Linked DNA regions of Anolis sagrei. The protein of the gene in region 2 interacts with the protein of the main gene of each other region in a biochemical or structural test. Links are inferred from orthologs where the notes say so. Each region holds a gene or a part of one and is shown on either strand. Other genes may lie near its edges. The genes, in order: DNA-binding death effector domain-containing protein 2 and CFLAR.

The links.
Region 1: the proteins of CFLAR (region 2) and DNA-binding death effector domain-containing protein 2 form a complex in vitro, tested with the Homo sapiens proteins (2 studies listed by BioGRID). The link is inferred for Anolis sagrei from reciprocal best matches to the Homo sapiens genes CFLAR and DEDD2.

What each region holds. Positions count from the first base shown.
Region 1 is NC_090034.1:109,159,188-109,174,537, reverse strand, and holds the start of DNA-binding death effector domain-containing protein 2, read right to left. Parts: upstream 6,238-15,350; 5' UTR 6,122-6,237; coding exon 5,650-6,121; intron 5,388-5,649; coding exon 5,277-5,387; intron 5,012-5,276; coding exon 4,880-5,011; intron 1-4,879. Other genes in the region: zinc finger protein 574-like, read left to right, coding at 14,066-15,350. UniProt on the Homo sapiens protein: May play a critical role in death receptor-induced apoptosis and may target CASP8 and CASP10 to the nucleus. May regulate degradation of intermediate filaments during apoptosis.
Region 2 is NC_090021.1:164,404,917-164,420,670, forward strand, and holds the start of CFLAR (CASP8 and FADD-like apoptosis regulator), read left to right. Parts: upstream 1-8,806; 5' UTR 8,807-8,927; intron 8,928-15,754. UniProt on the Homo sapiens protein: Apoptosis regulator protein which may function as a crucial link between cell survival and cell death pathways in mammalian cells. Acts as an inhibitor of TNFRSF6 mediated apoptosis.

The DNA.
Region 1 (15,350 bases), on a different chromosome or scaffold from region 2:
GTCATCACCTGTAGAAGCATTAACTCAAGAGTGCAGTAGTCACAGCCCTGTACCAGCAACATTGAAGGGTCCTGAGCCCGTCCCCCTCCCCGGCTGGCCCAAGGGACAACACCCCAGGCACTAAGTGAGGGGCCTAGACCCCTGGAAACACGGCCTTTCCAGGTAGGCAACAGAAAGGCTGCCATTCGGGTTTTCTATTCCATGGCAGAGTGGCCAGGAAAGGACAGCAATGCAGTCCAGGCAAATAAGGAAGAGGAGCTTCTCTTGGGAGAACTGCCACCCACAGAAGAGAGAAAAAGCCCAAACGTGGGGAGCCTCCTGTTTAGGGCAGAGACGCCCATGGGGCCACCGGCCAAGGAGTCCAGCTGCTGGCCCCACTGGAGACTGTGCTCACAGGCCCACCCAACCACCTGGCTACATGCCACTCAGTTGAGAGCTTCCTCTTTGATTAGCACTGAATACAATTCATGTACAGACAGCTGACCCCCATGGTTTAACTAATGAGCTTTGAGGGAACAGAAGAGCTCATCCACCTTCCTGTATCAACAGTGTGGTGATACCACAGCTGCCAGAGTTGGCATTAACACACTGGCACTCCTTGTGCCATCCACCAGTGTGGCTCTGAAGCAACTGGAAACATTTCCCCACTCAAGATCGGGCAAGGCTGCAGGAGTTTGTGTCAAAACACATTGGGAGCACGTCAACCAGAAGGTTGTCAGGAAACGGTTTCTGCACAACTGTTGTGTACAAAATGGGAAGCAGTTTTGTGGCCTTCCCCAGGCAGCACTCATGCCCGCCTTGAGTAGCTACATCAGATGAGAAATGGGGCCAACATTGGTAAGAACAGCAGCAGTAGAAAGACCACTGACCCCCCACCCCCCACCTCCAAATGCACATCCAGGCCTCAGTTCCAGTGAAACAATCCTACTGCGGTCACCCTCTTTGCAGCCTGAAAACAGGTCAGCAAGCCCCCCGTGAGAGGGTCTTCCATGAGTTTGGAATCAGAAGCAAGCCCCAAAAAGAAACCTCAACTGCATTACAACACAAGTAGGATGTTTCCAGAGAATGAGGCCTGTCACCTCATCATCCATGCAATCCCCGTAACATGGGCTGAGCATTTTTTACAAACCAAAATGAGAGGATTTGGCAAAAAAGTAATGAGATATTAAAACAGCAGTTTCCACAAAAGGGACCCACAATTTCTGGTTTTTAGAGCACAATTCTGCCCCACCCCGTTCACTTGATACACAGATTTAACTTTCACCGAGCAGCAAAACCCATCAGAATAACCTCCCGCCCCCTGTGCTGAAGGCAAGCAGTCCCAGAGCCCAAGGCCTCTTCTAATATAATAAGAGAAGCAGAGAGGAGGCAGAAGCAATAATCATGAGGAGCACTTTTAGGCTTTGTTTTTAGTTTGTATGGGTGTTTTTGCCATGTCTGGTACTTGGCCCACTTGCCTGGGCCAATACTTATGCTTTTCCAGGGATGGATGCCAACTGTAGACTGAGAGGAAGGTGTTTCAAGACTTTCAGCATATGGCCATCTCAAGAAACCATTCTGCGTTTCAATATGGCAGAAAGATACAAAGTGGTGCAAAGGCCCTGCCCTGTCTTCCTTCTGGGTTTTGGCTGCTGCAGATAGCAGACCGAGCGCATGGAAAGGCGGGCTGTGAGGAGGCAGCAGAGAGACTGCTCCCTGGAGTGGCACCAAGACCAACACAGGGCTGTATTCCACCTCACCATGGGTTTACTGGACATGGAATTGCAGCACGACTATTGTGTTTAGGGTCAAGAAAGGTGGCCCTTCTCAGGACTACAAAGGGTATTTTTTAAGTAAGGTCCGTTTTGTTGTAGACACTAGTAGTTCGCGTGCATACCGCAACGAGCGTGTGCGTCGTGTACCGGCATGCCTCGGGAACAACTGTGCTCAGTTTCCGCTCTGTAGCCCACCTGTACGGTTCTGTTCTGTGCTTTTAAAATGTTTAAGACTATCAACTCACCCTCTGCATGTGAGGTTCGCTCAGGGATACGGTTTTTGTCAGCAAGGAACCTGCCTGCTGCAGAAATTCATCGACAGATTTGTGAAGTGTACGGTGATACTGTGATGAGTGAAAGCCAAGTGCGTAAGTGGGTATAACAATTCAAAGATGGCCGTGACAACGTCCATGATGAGGACCGCTCCGGTCGCCCTTCTTTGATTACAGTGAACTCTTGGTTATCGGAGCGGGCGGCAAGTTTTTATGAAGAGGGTATTTTAAAATTGGTTCAGAGGTATGATAAGTGTTTGAACAAACTTGGCAACTATGTCGAAAAATAGAGTGAAGTATGTACTTTCTGAAAATAAATTTACTTTTTTGAAATAAACTTTCGTTCAAACGGACCTTACTTAAAAAATACCCCTCGTATTAACTGCTTAGATGGGCATCTGCCAGTTAGGCTTTGTCTGGCCAGCAGAAAACGAACAACAGCATCTGAAGTGCCTGGTTCTGCCGCCCCTGGCTGTATAGATTATTATGAAAAGAGCCCAACACATATCATGGCCTGATATCTGCAGCAGTCGTAGCAGTTCCGCCTGCACAGCCGAGGGGAGCCCTCCTAAGGGAGCAACTGGCTCCCGGCCAGCGCTGGTGGCCCTTCCTTGGAGCTGTGTGCCCCCACCTGCTCCCATGGGGCCCTGCTGGAGGTTTGCGGCACAAGCCCCTCGCCGTGCCGGTCTGGAGCGGCCCCCCTGCCCCCAGGAACCTCTGGAGCGCCATCGTGCCTTTGGGACTTGGCCGGCATGCAGGAGAGAGAAGGGGAAGGAAGGAAGGCGCCTGGGCCTGCTCCGGAATGAGGCAACGCAGCACAGAGTTAAAACAGTTTGCTTCACAAAGAAGTGGTGGAAATCTGGGTGCGTGGATTCATTTACCTTTGCGAGACCATTCTGTGAGAAGAGTGCACAAGAGAGACAGAGTCTCTTTATCATCAACTTTTGCTTAGCAACCTGGAATTTAAATGGTGGATTGAGAAAGAATTGGCAGAAAGCAAGCAGCAACAAAAAACCATTTGTGGACGTGGACGTTTTCCCCCTTAGTAGCCAAGGCCTAGCTTTTATGAAGGGTGAGATTGCGCTCTGGGAGGCAGATGGGAGCCGGCCCCCTCCCCGCCGCCGCTCAAGGCCGTGGCTGGACGTGGAGCCCATGACGGGAAAGCAGCTGCCTACGCCCCACGAGCCTCCGGTTCTGCCCCAGGGAAGCAAGGGAACAGGACAAGGAATACAGGCAACAATCTAGTGTGGAATGGAGCTTACAGTTTGATCCTTGCACCTACCCGGCAGAAGCCTTAGCTGCACCTTGAAGTTGCAGTTTTGACACTCATTGTATTATTTTTGAACCTTCTTCGTTAGAACCCCTTTGCCTGTAAATTGGTCAGACGGTAAGACAAGCGTTTTTGTGTATTCGCTTTGGTTTCATTTGCATTGCACTGAGACAAAGAAAGCAGCACATTGGCTGGCCCTGGGCACCCACCTCCTCGCCACGGACCACTTCCAATACAGTCCATGGCAAACAAAAAGCACCCCCAAGTTGAAGAAACTGTAAAAACCACGTGTGGACCGTCCCACACGACAGTCTGCAAGCAGATTTCACAGTTTCTCTATGTTCAGGAAATACATGGCTGAAAAGGCCTAGCAATGCAGGAATAAATGACAGATGCTGGTCTTTGAGACAGACATGAGGCAGAAATCTGAATATAATTTAACTAGGCAGACCAAAATCCTTCAAAGACTTGGACCTTTAAACAAAGTCCAGTTCCAGAAGTTGGTATGATGAACCAAATTGCGAGAAAAATCCTCTTTAAGAGGGCCAGTGATAAAACCGTGCAGTAGCAACATGGCGGGATACTGCAGCCACATGGCCACAGCTTATCTATATGTACGTTTCATTGCCACTTGCATAACACCCACGAAAAGGCTGTGGCACATGGTGCTCCTGGCACAATGACTCCAAATCACTCTTTTCAAAAGCAGCTCAATTTGTACTTGAGTCTTTTTCTAGTTAAGTATCTTTATCTGAAGCAGAGGGAGCATCTTCACACCTTGTCATGCTCCCTACCCAGGACCCGTTTCTTTAGAATTCTTGATTTAATTGGGATTCTCTTCCATTCAATTGTGGGAATAATTTTTAATCTGAAATTACCAAACCAGAAAAATGGGAGATGGCGAGAAGAGAACCAGATCAGACCCACCGCCTTGAGCCGCCTCCAATTTACACAGAAAAGGACCTCAAAGCAGCGAAGGCCGTCTCTCTCCAAGACCAGTTCTTTAAGCACCTTAGGGCACTGAATTAAAAGCTCCCAGTTTCCCCAGCAACTGATGCTAAGGGTTTAGCAACCTGAAGGCACCCTTTCCCATGTTCATAAAGCTGCTGGTTTCATGCAATACACCCGGGACAATTTTTTTTCTGATTTAGTTATCTATCATCATGGGCGAGTTAGAAAATTCACCATTTAGGAATAAATAGACTGTGGTCATTTGAAAATAGGAAACCAGTAAACTCAACTAGGAATAGAAACCAGTAAAACTCAACTAGGAATGGAAGATAACTTAGTCCCAAAGAGTGGGACTAAAATCTCCATGCTCCCAGTGGACTGGAGCCCCGTGGTGTCCAGCTGCACCTAACAATGCAAGCCCACCACCACGTTCCCTGGCCTGCCACTGGAGCCTTTCCTGGCAGCGATGTGCACCGGGCCGCCTCCTCCCCCCGCCCCACCCACCTCCCACTTTGGCTCCAGTCACCCTTAGGGCTCCATTCCCTTAACAGAGACCAAGATGCTCATGGCGTATTATTTGGAAGGACTCGAGGGAGCCCTAAGAGCACAGCACGGGCCAGGCAGACACTTACCACAAGTCACTTTGGTTGGAGTTTGGACCTCCTGCTTGGGAGCAGAAGGCCCTTTGGCTCCCCGACGCCTGCGGGGAGCAGCAGATTTTGCTCGGCCTCTGCTGACTCGTTTCCTTTTGCTGGAACTGGAGCCTAGAGGAAACAGAAGAAGGGAGGCTGGGAGTTTCTTGGGGCATCAGGACCCAGGGATGGCAGCTCACGTTCCCTTGAGCTGTGGTCCCTGGCTGGCCCCATGGCGCTCAACGCAGAAGCCGTCCCCCCCACAAACAGACACAAGAACCCAAACAGGCTGCTTGTGGGGCTTCACAGAAAGGGACTACTGGGTAGAGAAGGGGAAAAGGCAGACGGAAAAGGGAGAAACGCATGCCGCTCCTTCCCTGGGTGGTCCAACACGCACCTGCCTCCCACTGATCACTCTGAGGCTCTGCAGAGGCTGAATTGAGACAGTTGTCCACCTGCTGGTCGGATGACAGGACAGACGGCCCGTAAGTGTATCTCTCAGGAGAAACTAGGGAAAGAGTGACACAAGTCAAACAAAGGGAGAAGCACCTTTCTGGCAAGCAAGCCCAGGTAGCAAGTGCAGGAGAGGTAAGTGTCACCCCCACCCAGAACTGTGAAAGGAGCCAGCCCCGTCATGGAATTCCTCCATCCTGTTTGGATAAAGTTGGCCTGCAAGCTAGAATTAAGTACCCACTAAAGGAAGAGCGACAGCACTGTCATAAGCGAGTCAAAGGTTGAGTCATTTCCTTCCTGCCTGCGCGGCTGCATACCTGTCCGCTGCCTTTTCAGAGTGACGTAGGGCAGGAGGTCGTGCCTGGTGAGCACTCGCAGGAGCTGCAGCAGCTGCACAAAGTTGGTCTCGTCGCACTTGCCCCTCCGCTCGAGCTCCAGGAGAAGCCGGACACCGTCTTTGGGCAGCCCCCTGGCCCCCTCGAGGCTGCCTTCCGCCCAGGCTGAGCCCCCCTCCTGCTGCTGCTTCTTCCTCCAGCCCTGCAGGGCGGGTGAGGCCGTCTCTGCGGCCCCCTCTTCTGAGGCCGCCACCGCCCAGAGCTCCGGGTCCAGGGGGTGGTGCAAGGGCTGCGTCTCCTCCAGCAGGAAGGAGAGCACCTCCACGTCGTTCTGGGTCAGCTGGGCCCCCACCACTTCGAACATGCGGTGCAGGGGGATCATCCCGTAGTACTCCAGGCACTCCTCCTCCTCCCAGGCGTGCGCAAACAGGGGCCGCCGGAAGTCAGACATCATTGGGGCGGGTGGCGCAAGCAGGAGGAGGGGAGAAGCGCGGCAAGGAGCAGAAGCGCTGCGCAGAAGGAGGAGCTTCGAGTGGGTGAGACAGACAAGAGCCTGCAATGGAAGAAACAGCACTGCTCAGGGATCTCCAAACCACTGGCAGTGCGACACTTGGGCAACAGACATGAAACACAGAGACAAGGTGGGCTTGGAGATCGTCAGTGTTTGGAAAGGGAGCAAGGAGTCTTCTCAGGAGGCCACAAGCTGAGCGCTAGTCCACAGCGTGATCATGAAGTGTGGCTCTGGGTTGTGTCAAGAAGCACGCATGCAAGCGGAGGGAAGTCATGGTGCCCTCCCCCTCTCCTGCGTGGCCTGGAATGGGGCTCCCCTTTGGCTAGAAGCATTGGCCGTGCGCCCAGAGGACAATTCTCTTCAGAGCATCATACAGTTGGAAGAGACCACATGGGCCAAATCATCCAACCCCCTTCCATGCAGGAAAAGCACAATACTAATAATAATAGTAGTCTCCTCTATATTGTTTATGCCCAGCATTATTTTTTAAACTTCAATTACATTTGGCCCAGCCAGTCTTTTAAATGTGCATTGTGTTTTTGTTTATGTTTATGCTATTTGTGTATGAGATTTATTTTAATTGTTTTGTTTTGTATTGTGATTGTTATTGCTTCTATTGATGTATTGTGGGCTCGGCCTCATGTAAGCCGTTGGGGAGATGGTAGCAGGGTATAAATAAAGTTTTATTATTATTTATTATAATAACCTTTATTTATATTCCGCTACCATCTCCCCTGACGGATGTTTAAAGGCTTCCAAGGGATGAACTTCCTCCAGACTCTGAGGCAGAGAGTTCCACTGCTGAACAGCTTTTCTTACAGTTAGGAAGTTCTGTTTGGGCATGTAAGAAATACGTTGGGATGTGTGTGTCCGTCCTTTTTGGACTCCTCTCAATTACACTTTATTTTCTATTCCTTCCTCATCCAGGGTTTTATCATTTTACTTCGTCCATTTGGCCTGCCCATTGTCCAATGCTATGTCAATATGCTTTATCTATTTTACTTTTGCTACTGTATGTATTTTATTTTTATATAATTTTTGTTGCCTGTTTTTTGCATTTTATTCTGTTGTATTGTATCATGTAAGCCGCACTGAGTCCCCTTCGGAGAGATAGTGGCGAGGTAGAATTAAAGTTGTTTGTTGTCGTTGTTATTATTATTATAACTGTAAAATAAATAATAATGATAATAATAACAATAATAAAACTTTATTTATACCCCACTACCATCTCCCAAGGGACTTGGTGCGGCTTATAATAATAATAAGAAGAAGAATAATCATCCTTTATTTGTACCCCGCTACCATCTCCCGAAGGACTCAATGCGGCTTACACAAGGCCGAGCCCAAAATACAACAATAAACAATAACAACAATAATACAGCAAAATAAAACAAAAACAAGCAATAACATTAACAACAAGCAGTGACACAGTTAAAAACAATGGCCGGGCCAAATGTAATAATTAAAATTAAAAGTGCTGGGCATGACAGGTGGGGTGTTTGGAGGGGGGTGGGCATGCAGATATCTTAGATCTCTGAATAAAGTGCGTTGGGACATAATGCTAGGAGTTTCTTTATTCTGGAAAGGCACACTGGAACATCCATGTTTTCAAGCTCCTCCTAAAGATTGCTAGCGACGGCGCCTGCCTGATGTCCTTAGGGAGAGAGTTCCAAAGTCGAGGGGCCACCACCAAGAAGGCCCTCTCCCTCGTCCCCACCAATAGCACTTGCGATGCTGGTGGGATCGTAAGCAGGGCCTCTCTAGATGAATGAAGAGATCGGGTGGGTTCGTACACTGAAATGTGGTCATGTAGGTCATGTATTGTGGGCTCGGCTTACATCAATACAAGCAATACAACCACAATACGAAGCAAAATACAACTACTAATACAAAGCAATTAAAATAAATCTCATACACAATTAGCATAAACATTGAATGGTAGCACAAGACACATTTAAGAACTATGGCTGGGCCAAATGTAGTTAAGTTAAAAAATAATGCTGGGCATGAACAAGACAGAGATGCATATCTGTCCGAACGCATCTCCCTCTATGTCCCACCTCGGAGTCTGAGATCCTCTGGGGAGGCCCTGTTCTCGACCCCACCTCTGTCACAAGTGAGATTGGCAGGGACGAGGAGCAGGGCCTTCTCAGTGGTGGCTCCTCACCTATGGAATTCACTCCCCGGGGACATTAGATCAGCAACATCCCTCCTTTCCTTCAGAAAGAAATTAAAAACATGGACGTGGGACCAGGCGTTTAGGCAATCTGGCAGATAAATAAAGGACTGTGACGACGGATAGGAATAGACAATGTGGAATGAAGTATGGACTCTGAGTTGGTGAATGCTGTGTCTGAGATTGGCTATCGATTGTGAGATATATTGTTGTTTTAATTGTTAACCATTTAATTGCTGTTTTTATATGTTATTGTATTTGTGCAGGCACCAAATTGTGCCATTTTGTAAGCCGCCCTGAGTCCCCCCTCGGGGGTTGAGAATTATTTATTATTATTTATTTCGAGGTTTTATATACCGACCCTCTCACCTTCAAAGAGGGATCCGGACCGGCTCACAACATGTGTTAACATACAAAGAATATACAATAACAACACAATGTCACTTCATTACACGATTAAAATATCAGCACCATACACATTAAAACATTATCATCCCAGTTAAAAGAGCCAAATCGTCCGACACCATCACAATCCCATTCATCATCCTCCTTTCATGTGGGCAAAGAATTAAATCAGTTGTCAAATGCCGCGTTCCACAACCAGGTCTTTGTTAGTTTCCTGAACGTCATGAGGGAGGGGGCAGTTCTGATCTCTAATGGCAGGGAGTTCCAAAGTCGAGGGGCCACCATCGAGAAGGCCCTGTCCCTCGCCCCCACCAGCCGTGCTTGTGCAAGCGGTGGGACTGAGAGCAGGGCCCCTCCAGACGATCTTAGTGGTCTTGATGGTTCAACTGCGGAACTCTCTGCCCCAGAGGCTGGTGGAAGCTCCTTCCATGGAGGCTTTCTAAAAGAGGCTGGAAGGCCATCTGTCGGGTCGGGATGTTGATGGTGCTTTTCCTGCAGGGCAGAAGGGAGTTGGACTGGATGACCCAATGATTCTGTGAAGCAGGAGCCAAGTGCCAGGGCTTCCCTTCTGCTTGCTTCTTGTTGCAGATCAGGCAAACTGAAGGTGCCGGAATGGGTGGATACGGTCAAGCCGTGATTGTGCAGGCGGTGGGACCGAGAGCAAGGCCCCTCCAGACGAGAAGGGCGGGGTAGAAGTAGACGAAATACATAATAAATAAATAAATAAATAAATAGAGGAGGTGACACGAAGCTGAGTGTTGGGGCCACGTCCGTTCTAGCAAGCTTGGGCCTTCCTCCCTCCCTCCCTCCCTGTGTTTTGGACTTCAACTCCCAGCATTCCTCACCGCCTCGGGACCCTTCCGCTTAAGCGGAAAAGGAAGGGCCAGAGGCGGTGAGGAATGCTGGGAGTTGAAGTCCAAGTGTTTCTGGCTTGGAAGGAAGGTTCCTCCCGGCCAGGCCTTCCCAACCGGAAGAGGAGGCTCCCTCCCTCCTTCCTTCCTTCCCTCCCTCCCAGTTCCTCTTTTGCGGGAGGCCAAGCGCGCACCGGCCGCCAGGGGGCAGCACACCAAGGAGCCTCGGAGCCGAGGGAGGGGGATAGAGAGGGGGCACTTCAGCCCCTCCTTCACTCCCCCTCCCCCCCCTCCGGCCTGCCCGCTTCTCCCTCTCTTTGTGCGGGGGGGGGGCAGCCATGGCGAGAAGCCTTCAAAGCCAGGCGCCCCCCTGCCTCGTCCCTTCGAGGGAGGGAGAAAAGAGAGAGCCCCCTCCCTCCCTCTGCCCCCCCTCTGCCCCCCTCCCCCGTTCTCACCGAGCCTTCGACGATGAGCGTCCTCCTCCTCTTCCTCCCTGCGCCGTCCTTCTGGTCTTTCTGGTCCCTGGATCGCTTCTGCGCATGCGCCAGCCTCTCCTCAGCTGAGGGCCCCTCCTTAGCGCATGCGCAGCGCCTCTGTTTGTGTCTCGCAGGTGTCCAGCCCGCGCATGCGCCCCACGGCCTCCCTCCCTTTCGGCTCGCTCACGCGGACGGCCCACGTGAGGGGGCGGGGCCTCCCCAGCGCGGCCTCGACGACGAGGAAGACAACAACAAGAGACGTCACAAGCTCCGCCCCTCCCTCCCCTCGCCTGGGGCGTCGTCAAGGAGACGGCGGGGGTTAGGTAACCAGGGGCGGGGAAGGAGCAAGGGTGAAGTGCCGCCCTCCGTCCGCTTGGTGGCTCCGCCCAGGAAGGCGCCGCCGTGACGTCTCAAGCCTGCGGCGAGCGGAAGCACCTCTTGAGTATCGAGGGCGCTGATTGGCCAGGCCGTGAGGGAAGGAAAGCAGGCGGTGGGAGAGGGCCTGCGCCTGCCAGGGAGACCCAGAGTCCCAGGTGAGTGGCCGAGGGAGGCAAGGAGGAGGGCCGGAGCCCCGCAGGAGAGTCCCAGGCAGGCGGGGAGCAGGCCCAAAGCCTCTCTTCCCTGGGCATCCCGGGCAGGAAACTCAGCTGCCTCCAAATGGGCCTGTGGGCCTTCTGCTGCCATTCTGTCCCATGCAGGGGTGGCTCAAGCCCTTACGCAAAGTGAGCATTCGCAGTAGAGTTGATTTTGCCCAGTGGGGCACTTAAGGCACTCTTGGGGGGAAAATAGACCTTGACATATGCGAGTTGTAGTCACTGGGATGTATAGTTCACCCACAATCAAAGAGCATTCTGAACTCCACCAATTCTGGGCACCACAATTCAAGAGAGATATTGACAAGCTGGGAGAATTTGCCCAGAGGAGGGCGACTAAAATGATCAAGGGTCTGGAGAACAAGCCCTATGAGGAGCGGCTTAAGGAGCTGGGCATGTTTAGCCTGAAGAAGAAAAGGATGAGAGGAGATATGATGAGAGCCATGTGTAAATATGTGAGAGGAAGCCACAGGGAGGAGGAGGGAGCAAGCTTGTTTTCTGCTTCCCTGGAGACTAGGGTCTGGAGAACAAGCCCTATGAAGAGAGGCTTAAGGAGCTGGGCATGTTTAGCCTGAAGAAGAAAAGGCTGAGAGGAGATATGACGAGAGCCATGTGTAAATATGTGAGAGGAAGCCACAGAGAGGAGGAGGAGGGAGCAAGCTTCCTTTCGGCTTCCCTGGAGACTAGGACGCAAGGGAACAATGGCTTCTTTGGAAGCTTTGAAGCAGAGGCTGGATGGCCATCTGCCAGGGGTGCTTTGAATGCAATATTCCTGCTTCTTGGCAGAATGGGGTTGGGCTGGAGGATGGCCCAGGAGGTCTCTTCCAACTCTAGGATTCTAGGAGAGTCCCAGGCAGATGGGGAGCAGGCCCAAAGCCCCTCTTCCCTGGGCATCCCAGGCAGGAGACTCAGCTGCCTGCAAGTGGGCCTGTGGACCTGGAGGCCAGGCTGGCCTGTGGACGCAGGGGCGGCTCAACCCATTACACAAAGTAAGCATTCGCAGTAGAGTTGATTTTGCCCAGTGGGGCTCTTGAGGCACTCTTGGGGGGAAAATAGACCTTGACATATGCGAGTGGTAGTTACTGGGATGTATAGTTCACCTACAATCTGAACTCCACCAATTCTGGGCACCACAATTCAAGAGAGATATTGACAAGTTGGAATGTGTCCAGAGGAGGGCGACTCAAAGAATCAAGGGTCTGGAGAACAAGCCCTATGAGGAGCGGCTTAGGGAACTGGGCATGTTTAGCCTGAAGAAGAGAAGGCTGAGAGGAGACATGAGAGCCAAGAAACGAGATTCCATCTGAACATGAGAAAGAACTTCCTGACTGTGAGAGCCGTTCAGCAGTGGAACTCTCTGCCCCGGAGTGTGGTGGAGGCTCCTTCTTTGGAGGCTTTGAAACAGAGGCTGGATGGCCATCTGTCAGGGGTGCTTTGAATGCAATATTCCTGCTTCTTGGCAGAATGGGGTTGGACTGGAGGATGGCCCAGGAGGTCTCTTCCAACTCTAGGATTCTAGGAGAGTCCCAGGCAGGTGGGGAGCAGGCCCAGAGGCCCTCTTCCCTGGGCATCCCGGGCAGGAGACTCAGCTACCTGCGAGTGGGCCTGTAACCTGGAGGCCAGGCCGGCCTCTGAGTGGGTGCGTGTTGGGGGCATATTCAGGGGCGGCTCAACCCATTATACAAAGTAAGCACTCACAGTAGAGTTGATTTTGCCCAGGGGTGCTCTTGAAGTGCTCTTGGGGGAAAACAGACCTTGATATTTGGGAGTTGTACTTACTGGGATGTATAGTTCACCTACAACCAAAGAGCATTCTGAACTCCACCAAGGATGGAATTGAACTAAATAGGGCACAGTGTTCACATTTGGGCATACTGAGTGTTCATGTAAAGTTTGGTCCATATCCACCATTGTTTGAGTCCACAGTGCTCTCTGGGTGTAGGTGAACTACAACTCCAAACTCAAGGTCAAACCCAGGGGCGTTCCTGGGGGAAAATAGACCTTGACATATGCGAGTGGTAGTCACTGGGATGTCTAGTTCACCTACAATCAAAGAGCATTCTGAACTCCACCAATGATGGAACTGAACCAAATATGGCACACAGAACTCCCATGACGAACAGAAAATATATATCAGTAATTCATAGAATCCTAGAATCCTAGAGTTGAAAGAGACCTCCTGGGCTATCATCCAGTCCAACCCCATTCTGCCAAGAAGCAGGAATATTGCATTCAAAGCACCCCTGACAGATGGCCATCCAGCCTCTGCTTAAAAGCTTCCAAAGAAGGAGCCTCCACCACACTCCAGGGCAGAGAGTTCCACTGCTGAACGGCTCTCACAGTCAGGAAGTCCTTCCTCATGTTCAGATGGAATCTTCTCTCTTGTTGTTTGAAGCCATTGCTCCGCGTCCTAGTCTCCAGGGAAGCAGAAAACAAGCTTGCTCCCTCCTCCTCCCTGTGGCTTCCTCTCACATATTTATACATGGCTATCATATCTCCTCTCAGCCTTCTCTTCTTCAGGCTAAACATGCCCAGCTCCTTAAGCCACTCCTCATAGGGCTTGTTCTCCAGACTCTTGATCATTTTAGTCGCCCTCCTCTGGACACATTCCAGCTTAGAGTCAATATCTCTCTTGAATTGTGGGGCCCAGAATTGGACACAATATTCCAGGTGTGGTCTAACCAAAGCGGAATAGAGCATGGGGAGCAGGACTTCCCTGGACCTAGACACTATACTCCTAATTGGTTGGGGGGGGGGGGATATTATTATTATTATTATTATTATTATTATTATTATCTTTATTTGTACCCCGCGAGCATCTCCCGAAGGACTCGATGCGGCTTACAAAGGCCAAGGCCTCAAAACACAACATAACAATACAAAACCTAAAGCAAATTAAAAACAGTTAAAGCAATATTAAACAACAAGCAATAAACAATACATCAAAACACTATAAAACTGGGCCAGGCCAGAGTTATGGGCACAGGATTAAAAGTGCTGATGTGACAGGTGGTATATAAGGATTCTAGGGTAAGTGCAGTGTGCCGCAATCATAGTTCTACTAAAGTGCTTCTGGGACTTGGTATTGGAGATTTCCTAATCGGGAAAGGCACATTGGAACAGCCAGGTCTTCAAGTTCTTTCTGAAGACTGCCAGTGTAGGGGCCTGTCTAAGATCTTTGGGGAGGGTGTTCCAGACAACAACACTGAATACTGTTTGCTTACCGTTGAAAATTACCTAGGGCCACCTCTGTGTGGGTGGGTGGGTGTTGGGGGCATATTGAGAGCATGATGGGGAGTAATAAGTCAGTGGTGAACCAAGGGTGGCCTGGGGTGGGGGCAGGCAGCCTTTCTTCACCCGCTCTTCCCCCTCCCTCCCCAGGCGCCATGGCGGAGGACCTGTCCCAGTCGCTCTTCCTGCAGCACCAGTACATGTGCTCCGAGTGCGGGCTGCTCTACGACACGCTGGAAGCAGTGCTGATCCACCACCAGAGCCACCTCCCGGAGACCCCTACTCCTCCTCCTGCGGAAGAAGGAGCCGTGGCCCCGACCCAGGAGAGCAGCGGCTTCCAGTGCCTGGAGTGCGGCTGCGCCCTGGGCTCCCCGGACGAGCTCCTGGCCCACCAGGAAGTGCACCCCAGGGAGGTCCCCTCCCGGCCCCCGCCCACCCCGGGGCAGATCCGCTACCAGTGCAACGAGTGCCAGGAGCTCTTCCCCTCCACCGCACTCTGGCTGGCCCACCGCCGGGCGCACCGCCAGAAAGAGCCGGCCGCAACGGCCTGCCCCTCGCCTCCCCTTCCCCGCCCGCCCTCCCTTCCGCCTGCCCCGCCGGTGCACCCCTATGAATGCTCCGAGTGCGCCGGCCTCTTCCTGACTCCCGAGGAGCTGCTTGAGCATCAGGGAGAGCATTTCACGGAGATCGAGAAGGAGAGCGCAGAGCCCCCTGAAGGCACGGTGGCGGCAGCGGCGGTTCAAGAAGCGGCCAGCCCCCGGACATCTCCATTGCGGGGTCCTGAAGAAGACGCCCCCCTGCCCGCATCGCCCTCCACGAAGGCGCTCAGCTGTGGTGAATGCAAGCAGGCCTTTGCCTCAGCGGAAGCCCTGGAGCAGCACCGGCTGGAGCATCATGCGCGGAGCCAGCCGGAGGAGTTCCTCTGTGGGGAGTGCCAGCGCGGCTTCACCACGGCCAAGCGGCTGCTGGCGCACCAGCGGGCGCACATGGACGGCACCTACGAGTGCCCCAACTGCAACAAGATCTTCAAGAAGGCGGCCTCCCTGGAGCAGCACATGCGGGTGCACAAGGGGGAGGCGCTCTACCTCTGCGTGGACTGCGGCCTGGGCTTCTCCACCGAGATGACGCTCGTCACGCACCGCAAGAACCACACCGCCAACCCCCTGCACCGCTGCCACTGTGGCAAGGCCTTCAGCAACATGACCAAGTTCCTGTACCACCGGCGCACACACGCGGGCAAGAGCGGGGTGCCCCCCGCCCGAGGGAACGTGAAGCCGGGGCTCGGCAGGCAGACCCTGGAGCCAGTCCCGAGCGATGGGGAGACGGTGGTCAACGGTGGCAGCAACAGTGGTGGAGGGTCCTCTTCCTCCCCCAAGCCCCCCTCCTCCACTTCCTCCCCAAAGAAGGGGCCGGGAGCAGAGGGCAGCGGGGCGGGCTTCC
Region 2 (15,754 bases):
GAAGAAAAGCTTTCTGCTTTCCGTTTGTTGAATTAATGGATGCAGAATCCATGGATATAGAGGGCCAACTGTACTTTTGATCAACAATCCAGTTATTTTTTATCAGGGAACAAAATCCCACTTCATTTAATTTAATTCCTTCTAAGTAAATATTCATGGACTTGCCATCTACTTTGTCATCTAGATATTTCAATATTTTTCCGTTTTGGTTCCCCCCCCCCCCCCCACGAATTCAAATAATTGATTGGGATGATATGGCTAATATGTTTTAGTTAATAATGTCTATGTATTCCACCTACCATGAGCATTCTACTTGAAGATTAATTGCATATATATATATGCAATTAATGGTCAACACCAAAGTATGTGTATTTTATGAAATAATACTAACCCTCTGGTCAACACCAAAGTATGTGTATGTATGAATGTGTAAATATATATATATACACACGCACACACACACATATATATACACACACACACACACACACACATACATACATACATACACATACTTTGGTGTTGACCAGAGGGTTAGTATTATTTCATAAAATAATAATATTTTAACAGGATTATTTTGTCTCTTTCTACAAGCAAGAAGTGTTCCCAGAGAGAGAGGGAAAAGGCAGGATTGGAAGCCTAAGGAGCCCTTTCCAACTAGACTTTTTATCCTCCTGTTCTGTAGGGTTGCCTACTACCTTTTGCCCAAGGTGTTGGCTCCTGATGATAGTGTGAATATTGCTTATTATTCTTTCAATATATTTTATACTATTTATTGGCACCTTGAAAAGACTGGTATCTTAAAGAGCATCTGTTTCATTCAAAGGAAGGAAGGAAGGAAGGAAGGTAGAATTGAGGCTTCTTTGCTCCATTATGATCTTGAGAATACAATCCTGAGATAATACAGGAATATTTAGGTACAATTAATGGTAGTTGAGAGAGCCCCCTGTGGTGCAGCAGGTTAAACTATTGAGATGTTGAACTTGCTGACCAAAACATCAGCGGTTTGAATCTGGGAAGTGGTGTGATCTCCCGCTGTTAGTCCCAGCCATATGACCTAGGAGGCATCTATGGACAATGCCGGCTCTTCGGCTTAGAAATAGAGATGAGCACCACACCCTGGAGTCGGACACATCTAGACTTAATGTCAAGGGGAAACCTTTACCTTTACTTAACAGTAGTTGCTCTATTTTTACCTATCAAACCTATTTCAGTATATCTTCAGACAATATATATTTTGTCTGTAGTTATAACACATTGCAATTACTATAATAATATATAAATAACCCTTCCAAAAATATTTAGCAGATATCCTGTAGGGATTGACTTTTCATAGCAACTTTGTTTTCCAGCTCCATTAATGTTTTGCATTATTAGATAATATCCATGGACCTACATACTAATTTATTTACAATAAATATAATGGACTACACATATAGCTTTGGGATAGAGCTGTTTTCTGCCAGACAGCTGTGGCATGGTTTTGAATTTTGCAGAAAAACATGGGGGTTTGCCAGCATTGTCATTATTTGTTAGGAAGCTTTTATGATAATCGCTTTCCCAGGAGGAAGACTTTAAAGCACAATTCAGTACACCATGACCGCAGTTATGCCTGCTTTTAGGCCACTGTGGGACAACTTATGTAACTGTCATGCTGTATAGGAAACTGAAGTTCTTATTGTGTGAAATACAGTACATGCAAACTGAACAACAAGGGGATCAATATATGCAAAGCCTACATTATTTCTATGATCAGGTTTTATTTCTTTTCAATAATAAATCCTTATTACAAAAAGTAGAGAAATGTGATCACAAGATGGTCTGTTGTACAAACACGAGAACACAATTGCAGAAGAGAAATTACATAACAGATGTTTATAAAACAATGGCAAGAGAACAAATGTTCTTTTCTCACAGTTATCTAACTTGACGTTACCTAATGAAGGACCCATGCAGAGCGTCAAAATTGCTGTGTGTGTTTATCCCAGAGACAAACAGATTATAGGGAGAGATGACAGCAGTCTTCAAATATCTGAAGTGTTATGATGCAGAAGAATCAAAAGCTGGATTGTTATCCATTAGGGATTCTATAGTTGCATTCATGACTATGAATCATGAGCCATGGCTCTACTGGAACATACAGCGTGCCTATATTGCCTTTTCATTTTACCCTGTAATAACATCTTATGAATTTTCTTGGAATGATGCCCCACCACACTTTGGATTTCAGGAAATGATTCCCAAAATTATCATAATCCTTTCACAATGAACCAGGAGACTCGAGGGGAATACACAATGGACTTGCATAAGAACCCCTGGGTCCTTTTCCTGTTTCACCTGATATGATCTAAGTTATCTCTGGGAATGCTTCCTCTTCCAGACCCACCCTAGCAACACCCATTGAGACGGCCATCACTTTATGCACCCTTTATTTATCTGAACTAACTCCATTATATTAGCTGGAGCTAGAATATTAAACCCATAACTGATTTCCCCATCACATTCATTTCTGATCGCGCCCATCTCATGGGTGGATTGATAAACCAACACACTTTTCAAAATAATTAAATGAATATGCAAAACTACAGAAACAACAAAACATACCAACTTCGGAAGATTGGATGATAAAAGTTTTTTAAATGGCTAAATTAGCTTTAGTTCTACAATAAATAAATACACAGAAACTTCAGGAAAAATTGAAACCCTTTATTTAATTTATAAAGAACCAAAGGAAGGTGACCACAGCAGGATTTGTTGACTAAAAATAGTATTAAGAGTATATAGATACATTTTGCACTATTTATATACTTCACGTTCAAGAGATTTTAGAGACTTCAGATAATCAGCTTGTTTACTTACTTACATCCTCGTTGTCCAAGTATGATGGCCTTCAAAGTTCTTGGAAGACACCTGTGCACTCACCACAACAAGTTTTAATGTGTGGAGGTCGGTTATTTGGAACACGCAAGCCTACTCACCACAACAAGGTGGCAATCCATAGAGATTTGTTAGTACTCTTTAACTAGAATACTTTATTTACAAACTTTGTTATTTAAATATTTCAAAACACACATACACAGACACACCCAAATACATAAAGTTTGTGTAGTGTTTAAAAAAGAAGAAAATATGACAATGTAACTTAGTGAATTCTCACCCACACAATATTAATTTACTAACAGATGGAATTTAATTTTTAGATTTCTATGGCAATAATTAAAATTAGATAAAAGACATGTAAAGAACTAGAAGAGAAGATAGGAAGAACATCGGGCAGAATGGGAAGACATGATTACCAGTCTTGATGTTGGATGACAAGAGTGTGTTCTTTTCTGTTATAGAGGATATATTGAATTTTCAAAACTGTAGACAATGTGTATAATAGTACTTGAGATGAAGATATAGATGGAATAATTATAACAAATCTAAGACTTCTCTTCCCCGTCAATTCCTTTCCTCTTCCTCGGTGACATAGAAAAATCTTGATATAGTCCTAATTTACTACCCAGAGCTCTACTACCCTTCTTTTCTCTTGGTGTGATTTTTTTTTTTTAAAAAAAAAAAAGAACACTTGGGGGGAATCAATCACAGTTTATTAAAGTTTGTGGAAAGCAAGCAGTGATGACATCGGACGGAGTCCTGGATCACTCAGGAACAGATCTTAGCCAGACATTTTCTGAGCCTATCAGGGGCCAGTGCAGTAGACTTAAATAGCTGTCAACGATAATAAATATTGTATGTTTATTTATTATTTTATTTACTATATTTATATCCCGCCTTTCTCTACCCTGGGGGATTCAAGGCGGCTTACAGATAGACAATCATTCAATGCCTTAACAAAAATATACAATTAAACATTAAGATCAAGATTAAAATACATTAAAACATTTTAAAAACTTTACAATCACTATAAAACCACGCTATTCACAATCATAATCCAGATCGTTCCGTTACTTATTGCACATAATTCCTGTCCATCTATTACACAATAGTTCTTCCCCGAAGGCTTGATCCCATAGCCACATTTTCACACTCTTTCTGAAGGTCAGGAGGGAGGGGGCTGATCTAACATAGCTGGGGAGAGAGTTCCACAGCTGAGGGGCCACCACTGAGAAGGCCTTGTCTCTCATCCCCACCAGTACCTGCGAAGGGGGCGAGAGCAAGAGCAGGGCCTCCCTGGATGATCTTAATCTCCAAGATGGTTCATAGGGGGAGATCCATTTGGACAGGTAAGCTGGGCCAGAACCATTTAGGACTTTATAGGCTAAAGCCAGTACTTTGAATTGGCAGCCAGTGGAGCTGATGTAACAGGGGAGGGGGGTGCACTCCCTATACATTGCTTCAGTGAGCAATCTGGCTGCTGCCTGCTGGACCATTTGGAGCTTCTGAACAGTCTTCAAAGGCAACCCCATATAGAGCACGTTGCAGTAATCTATTCAAGATGTAACCAGAGCATGAACCACTGTGACCAAGTCTGACTTCCCAAGGTATGGGCACACCTGGCGCACAAGTTTTAATTGTGTGAATGCTCCGTTGGCCATCACCAAAACCTGGGGTTCCAGGCTCAGCAATGAATCCAGGAGAATTCCTAAGCTATGAACCCATGTCTTAATTGGGGAGATGGTGGTGGGATATTAAATAAAGTTGTTTATTATTATTATTATTATTCAGAGAGACTGTAACCCCATCCAATACAGGCTGTAACCCTATAACCTGTTCGGCTTTCCAACTGACCAGGAGTACCTCTGTCTTGTCTGGATTCAATTTCAATTTGTTTGTCCTCATCCAGACTGTCACAGGATCGGGACCTGAACAGCCTCCTTCACAGCAGGTGGAAAGGAGTTACAGAATTGAACGTCATCTGTGTACATATGACGTCCAACTCCAAAACTCCGGATGTTTGTATTGAGATATGTCAGTTCTTTGCAGTGCTGTCTTTGCTGACATCTTCTCTGGCCACTGAGAATAAAGCTTTTGACTTTGCCTTCAGCCCATCTGTGTCTTATCTGATTCTTTGGAAGCTTGGCACTCCGGGCCCCAAACCTGTGGTTTTAGTGGAGCTGAAATCACATAACACAGTTAAGTTAAAACAAATAATATGAAGTAAAAGTGACATGAGTTTAGCTGGAGACAGCTGCTTTATGTCTCAGAGCTTACCATTTCAATTTGTTAAGTGATCATCTGGACTTCGGACTAGGGAAATGGTTAATTATTTCTTATGTGTGTAAATATTTGCAATTAAGGTTGGAATGTTTGAGCAAGCAACATGGAGGAACCAAATTGCAATTAGCAGTTAAAGACTGTGTATGTGTGTGTGTGTGTGTATGTGTGTGTGTATGTATATGTGTGTTTGTGTGTGTGTGTTGATATTATTACAGTTTGAATCTTATTAAATGATTAGCAGTCCCCTGCCACGTGTTGCTGTGGCCTAGTCTGGTGATCTGGAAAATAAAGTAATGAGAAAGTGTTGGTTTCTAATATATGTAATTTCTTTATGCTTGTCGGTAAACAGTATTTGATTACGTTTTCTTGCCCTGGTGAAGGGACTTGGACTGGATGGCCTTAAGTATTTTCTATTGGTCATAGGGGTTGTGTTTGGGAAGTTTGCCCCAATTCTATCATTCAACAGGTTCAGAATGCTCTTTGATTGTAGGTGAATTATAAATCCTAGTAACTACAACTCCCAAATGTCAAGGTCTATTTCCCCCAAGCTCCATCTGTGTTCCTAGTTGGGCATATGGAATATCTGTGCCAAGTTTGGTCCAGATCCATCATTGTTTGGGTCCACGGTGCTTTCTGGATGTAGGTGTACTACAACTCCCAAACTCAAGGTCAATGCCCACCAAACCCTTCAAGTATTTTCTGTTGGTCATGGGAGTCCTGTGTGCCACATTTTGTTCAACTCCAAAATTGGTGGAGTTCAGAGTGCTCTTTGATTGTAGGTTAACTATAAATCCCAGCAACTATAACTCCCAAATTACAAACTCAATTTTTTGAATGATGATCACTCCTTGGGTTAGTAGGTGTTTTGTGGCCAAATTTGGTGGCAATTTGTCCAGTGATTTTTGAGTTATGTTAATCTCACAAACGAACATTACATTTTTATTTATATAGATGACTTATATTACAATATACATATGCCTTATATTACATAAATGGAATATATGTTTAGAAAGCAAAAGGTTTGTCTCATGTCTTTAAACACAAACAAAAATAGAATATAACTTTCAAACCACATACATGGCTATTTTATTACTACCCCCAATTATTTTTTCCATCCTTTCCTGTCTTTTCGCTACCCTCACTTTTTTAATATGCATTTTATGTTTACTTTATTTGGAAATGTTAAATCAAAAAAATATTTGGAAACATGTATCAATTATTTTGGATGCAGCAAAGCAAAGACATGAAAACTACTTGCTTGGAATTTGTACTGGAAGACGAAGAGATTCCCAGAAAGGCCATCCTGCTTAATTCTGACCAGACAGTTTGAAACCACTTTGGACTGCCATGACTAAGTTGATTTTTTTCTCTAGTGTGATGAAGATTGCTGTTGTTGTTCATTCGTTCAGTTGTTTCCAACTCTTCGTGACCTCATGGACCAGCCTGCGCGATAGTTCCCTGTCGGCTGTCACCACCCCCAGCTCACTTCAAGTGATGCCATCCGCAGGGATACCAAGGTGCTTGTTTATAAAGCTATTGTCCTCCCAACCCTGCTATACGCTTGCGAGACGTGGACAGTCTACAGATGTCACATGCAACTCCTGGAATGATTCCATCAGCGTTGCCTCTGGAAAATCCTGCAAATCTCTTGGGAAGACAAGCATACAAATGTCAGCGTGCTGGAAGATGCAAAGACCACTAGCATTGAAGCGATGGTCCTCCGCCATCAGCTCCGCTGGACCGGCCACGTTGTCCAGATGCCCGACCACCGTCTCCCAAAGCAGTTGCTCTTCTCTGAACTCAAGAATGGAAAAGGGAAAGTTGGTGGGCAGGAAAAGAGATTGAAAGATGGGCTCAAAGCCAACCTTAAATCCTCTGGCATAGACACTGAGAACTGAAGCTCTGGCCCTTGAGCGCTCCAGCTGGAGGTCAGCTGTGACCAGCAGTGCTGTAGAATTTGAAGAGGCATGAATGAAGGGCGAAAGAGAGAAACGTGCCAGGAGGAAGACGCGTGAAGCCAACCCTGACCGGGACCGCCTTCCACCTGGAAACCAATGCCCTCACTGTGGGAGAAGATGCAGATCAAGAATAGGGCTCCACAATCACCTACGAACCCACTGCCAGGACACTGACCTTGGAGGACCATCATCCTCGGACTATGAGGGATTGCCTAAGTAAGTAAAGCCATCCATCCATCTTGCCCTTGGTTGGCCCCTCCTCCTTTTTCCTTCCATTTTCCCCAGCATCATTGTCTTCTCCAAGCTTTCCTGTCTTCTCATTATGTGGCCAAGTACTTCATCTTTGTCTCTAGTATCCTTCCCTCCAATGAGCACTCGGGCTGTATTTCCTGAAGACTGGTTGGATCTTCTCGCTGTCCAAGGCACTCTTAGGATTTTCCTCCAAAACCACAGTTCAAAAGCATCTATCTTCCTTCGCTCAGCCTTCCCTAAGGTCCAGCTCTCACATCTGTAGGTGACTATGTGGAATATCATTGCTTTAACAATGCGGATCTTGGTTGCCATTGGTTAACAATGCGGATCTTGGTGATGTCTCTAATCTTTACTATTTTATCGAGATTGGTCATTGCTCTCCTCCCAAGATTTCCTGGCTGCAGTCTGCGTCTGCAGTAATCTCTGCACCTAGAAATACAAAGTCTGTCATGGCCTCCACGTTTGTGATGAAGATCCTGCCTGGAAAACTCACAGCAACCCAGTGCATCTTCTATTCACACTGTAGAGCAGCGTTTCTCAACCTGGGGGCCGGGACCCCCATGGGGGTCACGAGGGGGTGTCAGAGGGGTTGCCAAAGACTATCAGAAAACATAATATTTTCTGTTGGTCATGCGGGTTCTGTGTGGAAAATTTGGTCTAATTCTATTGTTGGTGGGGTTCAGAATGCTATTTTGTTGTGGGTAAACTATAAATCCCAACCACTACAACTCCCAAATGGCAAGGTCTATTTTCTCCAAACTTTACCAGTGTTCACATTTGGGCATATTGAGTATTTGTACCAAGTTTGATCCAGATCCATCATTGTTTGAGTCCACAATGTTCTCTGGATGTAGATGAACAATAAATCCAAAACTCAAGGTCACTGCCCACTAAACCCTTCCAGTATTTTCTGTTGGTCATGGGAGTTCTTTGTGTCAAGTTTGACTCAATTCCATTGCTGGTAGAATTCAAAATGCTCTTTGATTGTAGGTGGACTATAAATCCCAGCAACTACAACTCCCAAATGACAAAATCAGTCCCTCCTCAACCCCACCAGTATTAAAATTTGGGTATATTGGATATTTGTGCCAAATTTGGTCCAGTGAATGAAAATACATCCTGCATACCAGATATTTACATTATGATTCATAACAGCAGCGAAATGATAGTTATGAATTAGCAACAAAAATAATTTTATGGTTGGGGGTCACCATAACATGAGGAAGTGTATTAAGGGGTCGTGGCATTAGGAAGGTTGAGAACCACTGACCTAGAGCTTCTATTCAACCATCTCAAAGCTCCCTGCTTGAGCAGTAATGGCACGATCATCAGTACTGAAGAGTGTAGAAGGCGGGCGCCCCTTGTGGCTAGTGGCGGAATTGCATCCCCTCTTTGCAGCTCTCTCCTCCTCCTCCTCCTCCTCCTCCTCCTCCTCCTCCTCCTCCCCTTCTTCCTCGTCCAGGCCTCTTTCTCGGAAAGCGAAAGCCTCCCTCCCGCGTCACTGGCCAAACTGCGAGGGGTGCTGCCATCTTGAGAGGGACGATCGGGTTGCCTGTGAGTAGCAGCTGATTCTCTAGAAGGAGAGAGAGAGGGAGAGAGAGGGAGAGAAAGAAGGAACGAGGGGAAGGAGGAGAGGATCAAGCGGATGTGTGTGTGTGTGTGTGTCCTTCCTTCCTCCTTCATGGGAAGAGAGCGGGGCGAAAGAACAGATCGAGCCCCTCCTTTTTGATCCTTCGAAGAAAGGCACTTTATTTTCAAACTGGAGTGACTCAACATTGTTGCACTTTGACCCCAGTTCGAACTGCCAGGCGATCGCCTTGGCGAGGCACAGGCGATCTTTGGCAGAGAAGGCTCCAGGCTTTGTCAAACTACAGTTCCCAGCATTGACTTCCGGGGAGAGCGGCCTCCACATTGTTTTGCGGAACAACACCACGGATCCTGGGAGATGTAGTTTTTCCAAATTCAGTGCCTTTTCTCTTTACTCCCAGGAATTCACAGCAGTGAGCCCTGGCAATTCAAGTGTGGCCAAACTGTGTCAAGACTATTGATTGACATTATTAAATACATTAATAATTACAATTATTAATAATCTATTAATGCCACATTAATGAACATTATTAGTTATTGATACATTAGAATCATAGAGTTGGAAGAGGCCTCATGGAAGAGGCATCCAGTCCAACCCCCTGCCAAAAAGCAGGAATATTGCATTAAAAGCACCCCCGACAGATGGCCATCCAGCCATCCAAAGAAGGAGCCTCCACTGCATTCCGGGGCAGAGAGTTCCACAGCTGAATGGCTCTCACAGTAGAATCATAGAGTTGGATGAACCCTCATGGGCCATCCAGTCCAACCCCCTGCCCTTAAAAGACTCCAAAGAAGGAGCCTCCACCACACTCAGGGGCAGAGAGTTCCACTGCTGAACGGCTCTCACAGTAGAATCATAGAGTTGGATGAGCCCTCATGGGCCATCCAGTCTAACCCCCTGCCAAAAAGCAGGAATATGGCATTCAAAGCACCCCTGACAGATGGCCATCCAGCCTCCCCTTAAAAGACTCCAAAGAAGGAGCCTCCACCACCCTCCAGGGCAGAGAGTTCCACTGCTGAACGGCTCTCACAGTAGAATCATAGAGTTGGAAGAGACTTCATGGGCCATCCAGTCTAACCCCCTGCCAAAAAGCAGGAATATGGCATTCAAAGCACCCCTGACAGATGGCCATCCAGCCTCCCCTTAAAAGACTCCAAAGAAGGAGCCTCCACCACCCTCCAGGGCAGAGAGTTCCACTGCTGAACGGCTCTCACAGTAGAATCATAGAGTTGGAAGAGACCTCATGGGCCATCCAGTCTAACCCCCTGCCAAAAAGCAGGAATATGGCATTCAAAGCACCCCTGACAGATGGCCATCCAGCCTCCCCTTAAAAGACTCCAAAGAAGGAGCCTCCACCACCCTCCAGGGCAGAGAGTTCCACTGCTGAAGGGCTCTCACAGTAGAATCATAGAGTTGGAAGAGACCTCATGGGCCATCCAGTCTAACCCCCTGCCAAAAAGCAGGAATATGGCATTCAAAGCACCCCTGACAGATGGCCATCCAGCCTCCCCTTAAAACACTCCAAAGAAGGAGCCTCCACCACCCTCCAGGGCAGAGAGTTCCACTGCTGAACGGCTCTCACAGTAGAATCATAGAGTTGGAAGAGACCTCATGGGCCATCCAGTCCAACCCCTTTCTGCCAGAAAGCAGGAATATTGCATTCAAAGTACCCCTGACAGATGGCCATCCAGCCCCTGTTTAAAAGCTTCCAAAGAAGGAGCCTCCAACACTCTCCGGGGCAGAGAGTTCCACTGCTGAACGGCTCTCACAGTCAGGAAGTTCTTCCTCATGTTCAGATGGAATCTCTTTTAATATTAATAATTACAAGTAATAATCTATTAATTCTTCGTTATTAGTTTATTAGTTATTAATACATTATTAATCTTTAATCTTATATAAATAAAAATATAATGTTCATTTGTGGGATTAACATAACTCAAAAACCACTGGACGAATTGACACCAAATGCGGACAGAAGACACCTATCAGGCCAATGAGTGACCATCACTCATAAAAACACTGCAAAACACAGCAGAAGAGATTTAAAAAGCCAAAAAAAGAAAAAAATACATTACAACGCATGCGCAAAACCACACACACATATATACACAAAAATATGCACAAACAAAACACATATACACAGACTAGGCCACAGCAACACGTGGCAGGGGACGGCTAGTTATTAATACTACAACAATGCTTGTCTTGCTTCAGTGCAAAAAGGGCTCAGCTCAGCGGCCCCTTTAAGGCGCAACTTATTTTGGAAAGACTTTTCCGGCACGCGGAAGTGGCTTCCCGAGGAGGGCAAGAAGCTGCGCGCGCATCCAAGCACGCGCGGGCGGGGCTTTTGTTGTGGTTTCCCTCGCGCCGTGTTGTTTCCTCATTGTGGAGTTCTTAGTCAAAGGCGTTTTGTGGTCGCTGAGATCACGAGGGAAACTGAGTTGTTTTCCGTCTCTCTCTGAGGGAAAAAAACAGCCCTAAAGGACAAAAAGGGAGGCTTTTAAGGCGTGGGAGGTGAGACTAGGCCTGGTCACGCAGTTTCCCAGTCACAGCTGTGAATTCAAAGACAGCCATCTTATTTTTAGCACTTTGGCCCTATCTCCACTGCTATATACAATCCAGATTATCTGCTTAGAACAGGATTCTACTGCAGTGTAAACTCATAATCCAGTTCAGTGGTTCTCAGCTTGTGGGTCCCCAGATGTTTTAGCCTTCAACTCCCAGAAATCCTAACAGCTGGTAAACTGGCTAGGATTTCTGAGAGTTGTAGGCCAAAAACATCTGGGGACCCCAGGTTGAGAACCACTGGATTATCTGATTTTATTTATTTATTTACATCACTTATATCCCGCCCATATCAGCCCGCAGGCGACAATACAAAAGCAAAAACAATTAAGTGCATTTAGACAAAAAAGAGTGCAATAACAATTTAAAAAGAGCTATATCTTCTCATTCCAATCCTCGTCCATTTCATCGTCTTGGCCGTTCCTGGGTCATTCTCCATCTCAAGCTTGACTTATCTATTCCGGGGTTCCGAATGCCTGCTCAAAGAGACAGCTTTTCACTCTCTTACAAAAGGTCAGGAGGGAGGGGGCTGATCTAATATCCCTAGGCAGGGAGTTCCACAGCCGAGGGGCCACCACAGAGAAGGCCCTGTCTCTCGTCCCCGCCAAGCGTGCTTGCGAAGCAGACGGGATCGAGAGCAGGGCCTCCTCAGATGATCTTAACTTCCTGGAGGGTTCGTAGGAAGAGATGCGTTCGGATAGGTAGGCTGGGCCAGAACCGTTTAGGGCTTTATAGGCTAAAGCCAGCAAACTGGCAGCCAGTGGAGCTGGCGCAGCAGAGGAGTTGTGTGCTCCCTGAGCGCCGCTCCTGTTAGCAACCTGGCTGCTGCACGCTGGATTATATAGCAGGTTAGTTAGAAAGGGCCTGAGACATGTTGGGAAACACTGCATTTAATGCAGTTTGACCCCCTCTTGAACTGCCAGGGTTCAGTGCTATGGAATCCTGGGAGCTGTCGTTTTACAAGGTCTTTTTGCCTTCTCTGTCAAAGAGTGCTGTTTGTGTGTGTCAGATGTGGATTGAGAATATACTACAAGTCAGAATTTGCTGTCCGCAAGGATGTTGCCCAAGGGACTCCTGGATGTGTTACCATTCTGAAGGAGGCAACCATTTTGGAGGAGGCTTCTCTCATGTCCCCGGATGAGAAGATGGAGCTGACAGACAGGAAATCACCCTTTCGACAGATCTGAACCGTCAACCTTCAGATCAGCAGTTCAGCTGGCACAAGCGTTTAACCCAGTGGTTCTCAACCTGTGGGTCCCCAGATGTTTTGGTCTTCAACTCCCAGAAATCCTAACATCTAGTAAACTGGCTGGGATTTCTGGGAGTTGTAGGCCAAAACACCTGGGGACCCACAGGTTGAGAACCACTGGTTTAACCTATTGCGCCATCACGGCTCCTCACTCCCATGATTCCATACCATTGAGTCATGGCAGTTAGTGGGGTCAGATTGCATTCATTCTACAGCAGGCATGGACGAATTTTGGCCCTTCAGGTGTTTTCGACTTCAACTCACACAATTCCTAACAGCTAGTAGGGAAAAGAATAATTCAGGCAGAAGATTAAACATCTGGAAAGCTGCGAGAATTCTTGAAAAATGGGAGAAAAATATAATATTTAATTTAAAAAACTCCCTGTGGAATGGACTGGGAGCCAAACCTTTCCCCCTTTTTCCCATCTTTATCAACCCACCCTATCCCCCAACCCACCCACCCCCCCAGTTCCCAGCAATCCCCCATCCCCTCTTTTACGTATAACTGTAAAATTCTTGAAATAAAGATAATTAATTAAAAAAAGGAATTGTGGAATTGAAGTCCAAAACACCCAGAGGGGTTTGCCCATGCCTGTTCTACAGTGTAGGGCCGTGCTAGACAGGCCCTATATCCCAGGATCTGATCCCAGGTTTTCTGCTTTAAATTGGATTATATGAGTCCACACCGCCAGATAATCTGGGATAAACAGAAAACCTGGGATCAAATCCTGGTGTATAAGGCCTGTCTGGAAGCGCCTGTAGATGCACTCTGTCTCATTGTGAGTCACAATGAGTTACTTCCCATTAAGGTTTTTCTTGAGAGTTTCCCTGACGGGGATAATGATAAATCCCAGCCATGGCCTCATCACTATGTAACCATATTTGAATTTTTTTTCTGTTCCTGGTTTGAAAGTGTTATTTCCTGTTTAATTGTTCCATACTTATTTTGAAAGTAGTTGTTCTACTCCAGAAACTTCGTTTTGTGTCTGCCACAAAGTAGATTGGATTGGTTGAGATTCAGTGAGATATTCATTGAAAAACTAAAGGAAAAACTATAACAGGATCTGGGTTGTTGTAGGTTTTCCGGGCTATATGGCCATGTTCTAGAGGCATTTTCTCCTGACATTTCGCCTGCATCTATGGCAGGCATCCTCAGAGGTAGTGAGGTAGTGAAAGCCTTCAACTATACATATAACAGGATCTCGCAAAAAACATTTTTTTTGCAGTGTAATAAACTTTTGCCATGTTTTTAAATGATTGAACCAATTAGAAAATGACCTTTATAACACAGGAACAAAAATCATGTTACGTAGTACTATCAGCAGAAGGGAGGAAATAAGTGGAAAACCCCAGCAAGGATCTTTTCTTTTGTTCCCTTTTTCTTGTGGGTGCCACTTGAAAGAAAGAGGAGGAGGAGGAGGAACAGCAGTTTCAGGAAATTAAAAACAAACAAACAGATTCTTGTTTACACATGGAAACCAGGAAACTGAGCAGCTCCTTCCTCTTTGAAAATGAAGGCTTGCTGCTTTAACATAAAAGGGGGTCCTAACGCATCTAGGCTTCAAGGGAGCCATTTAGGGTTTTTAAAAAGATTATATTATTTACCAATCTGTCTTGAAAGCAAATTACTTGGCAAGTCAGAGATTGCTGGCTCTACACTGTAGAATGGATGTGGTTTGACCCCACTTTTAAGTGCCATGACCCAGTGCTATGGTCTCCTAGGAGTTGTTAGTTTGGTGAGGCAACAGCACTCTTTGGGAAAACTACTAGGGCTGGGCAACCACGGAAAAATTTGTTTCTAAAACCGATTCGTTTTTTGGGGGGGTTTGCGTTTCGATTTTTAAAAGAATTCCGAAATTTTTCTTTTAAAAAGTTCGATATTTACGAAATTTCGTAAAATTGCAAAACAATACGAAACAATTACAAAACAATTACGAATCGATTCGTTAATGGCGGATGCGACCGCGCAATACGCTAAAAAACCTCCAAATGGGACAGGGGGAACTTCTGAAGCTTCCCTCTCCCTCTGTTGTTGACTGTTGGTGTGATATTTATAATTTTTTTTTCACTGATTAAACAAACAACAACTATAAAACTTGCCCCAGACATGCGGAAATAATAACGAAACAATTTCAAAACGATAACGAAACGAATACAAAACGAATTCGAAACAATTACGAAACGAATTTAAAAATTCGTTTCGTTTTTTAGTTGCTCCTGAATGGTTCGTTATCGCTTCGTTATAAAAAAAATAACGAATTTTTAACGAATTACGAAATTACGAAATGAAACCGCCCAGCCCTAAAAACTACAACTCTCATGATTTCATAGCATTGAGTGGTTGCAAACTGCACTCCAGGATTGTTGTGTGTTTCCCATTTATGTCAAGAGGTTGTTTTCTTTTCACAACTTGTTTAGCGTGAGTATCTTTTTGCAGAGAGAGTGACTTGACCAAAGGCACCCAGAGTATTTCCATGACTGAGCAGAAATTTGAACCCTGGTCTACACAGTGGTAGAACACATCTACACCAGGCATGGACAAACTTTGGCCCTCTAGGTGTTTTGAACATCTACATTATAGAATTAATGCAGCTTGAACCCACTTTAACTGCCATGGCTCAGTTCAATGGGATTCTAAGAGTTGTATTTTTCCAAAGTCTTTAGCCTTCTCTGCCAAAGTGTGCTGGAGCCTCACCAAACTACAACTCTTGTGATTCCATCGCATTGAGCCATGGCAGCTCAAGTGGTGCTAAACTGAACTGATTCTACAGTGTAGATGTTCCCATAGTCTAATGCTCGAACTACTACACCGCACTCCCTTGGTATTTTAAGAACGGATGAGAAATGTTTCAGATTGCTTGATAAACTAATTTTGCAAGTTACCTATAAAGGACACATTTTGAGGCATGAGAAAGATGACAGCTGTTTTTGTGTTTCCATATTTGTTTGTTTGTTTGTTTGTTTACTGTACTTATACCC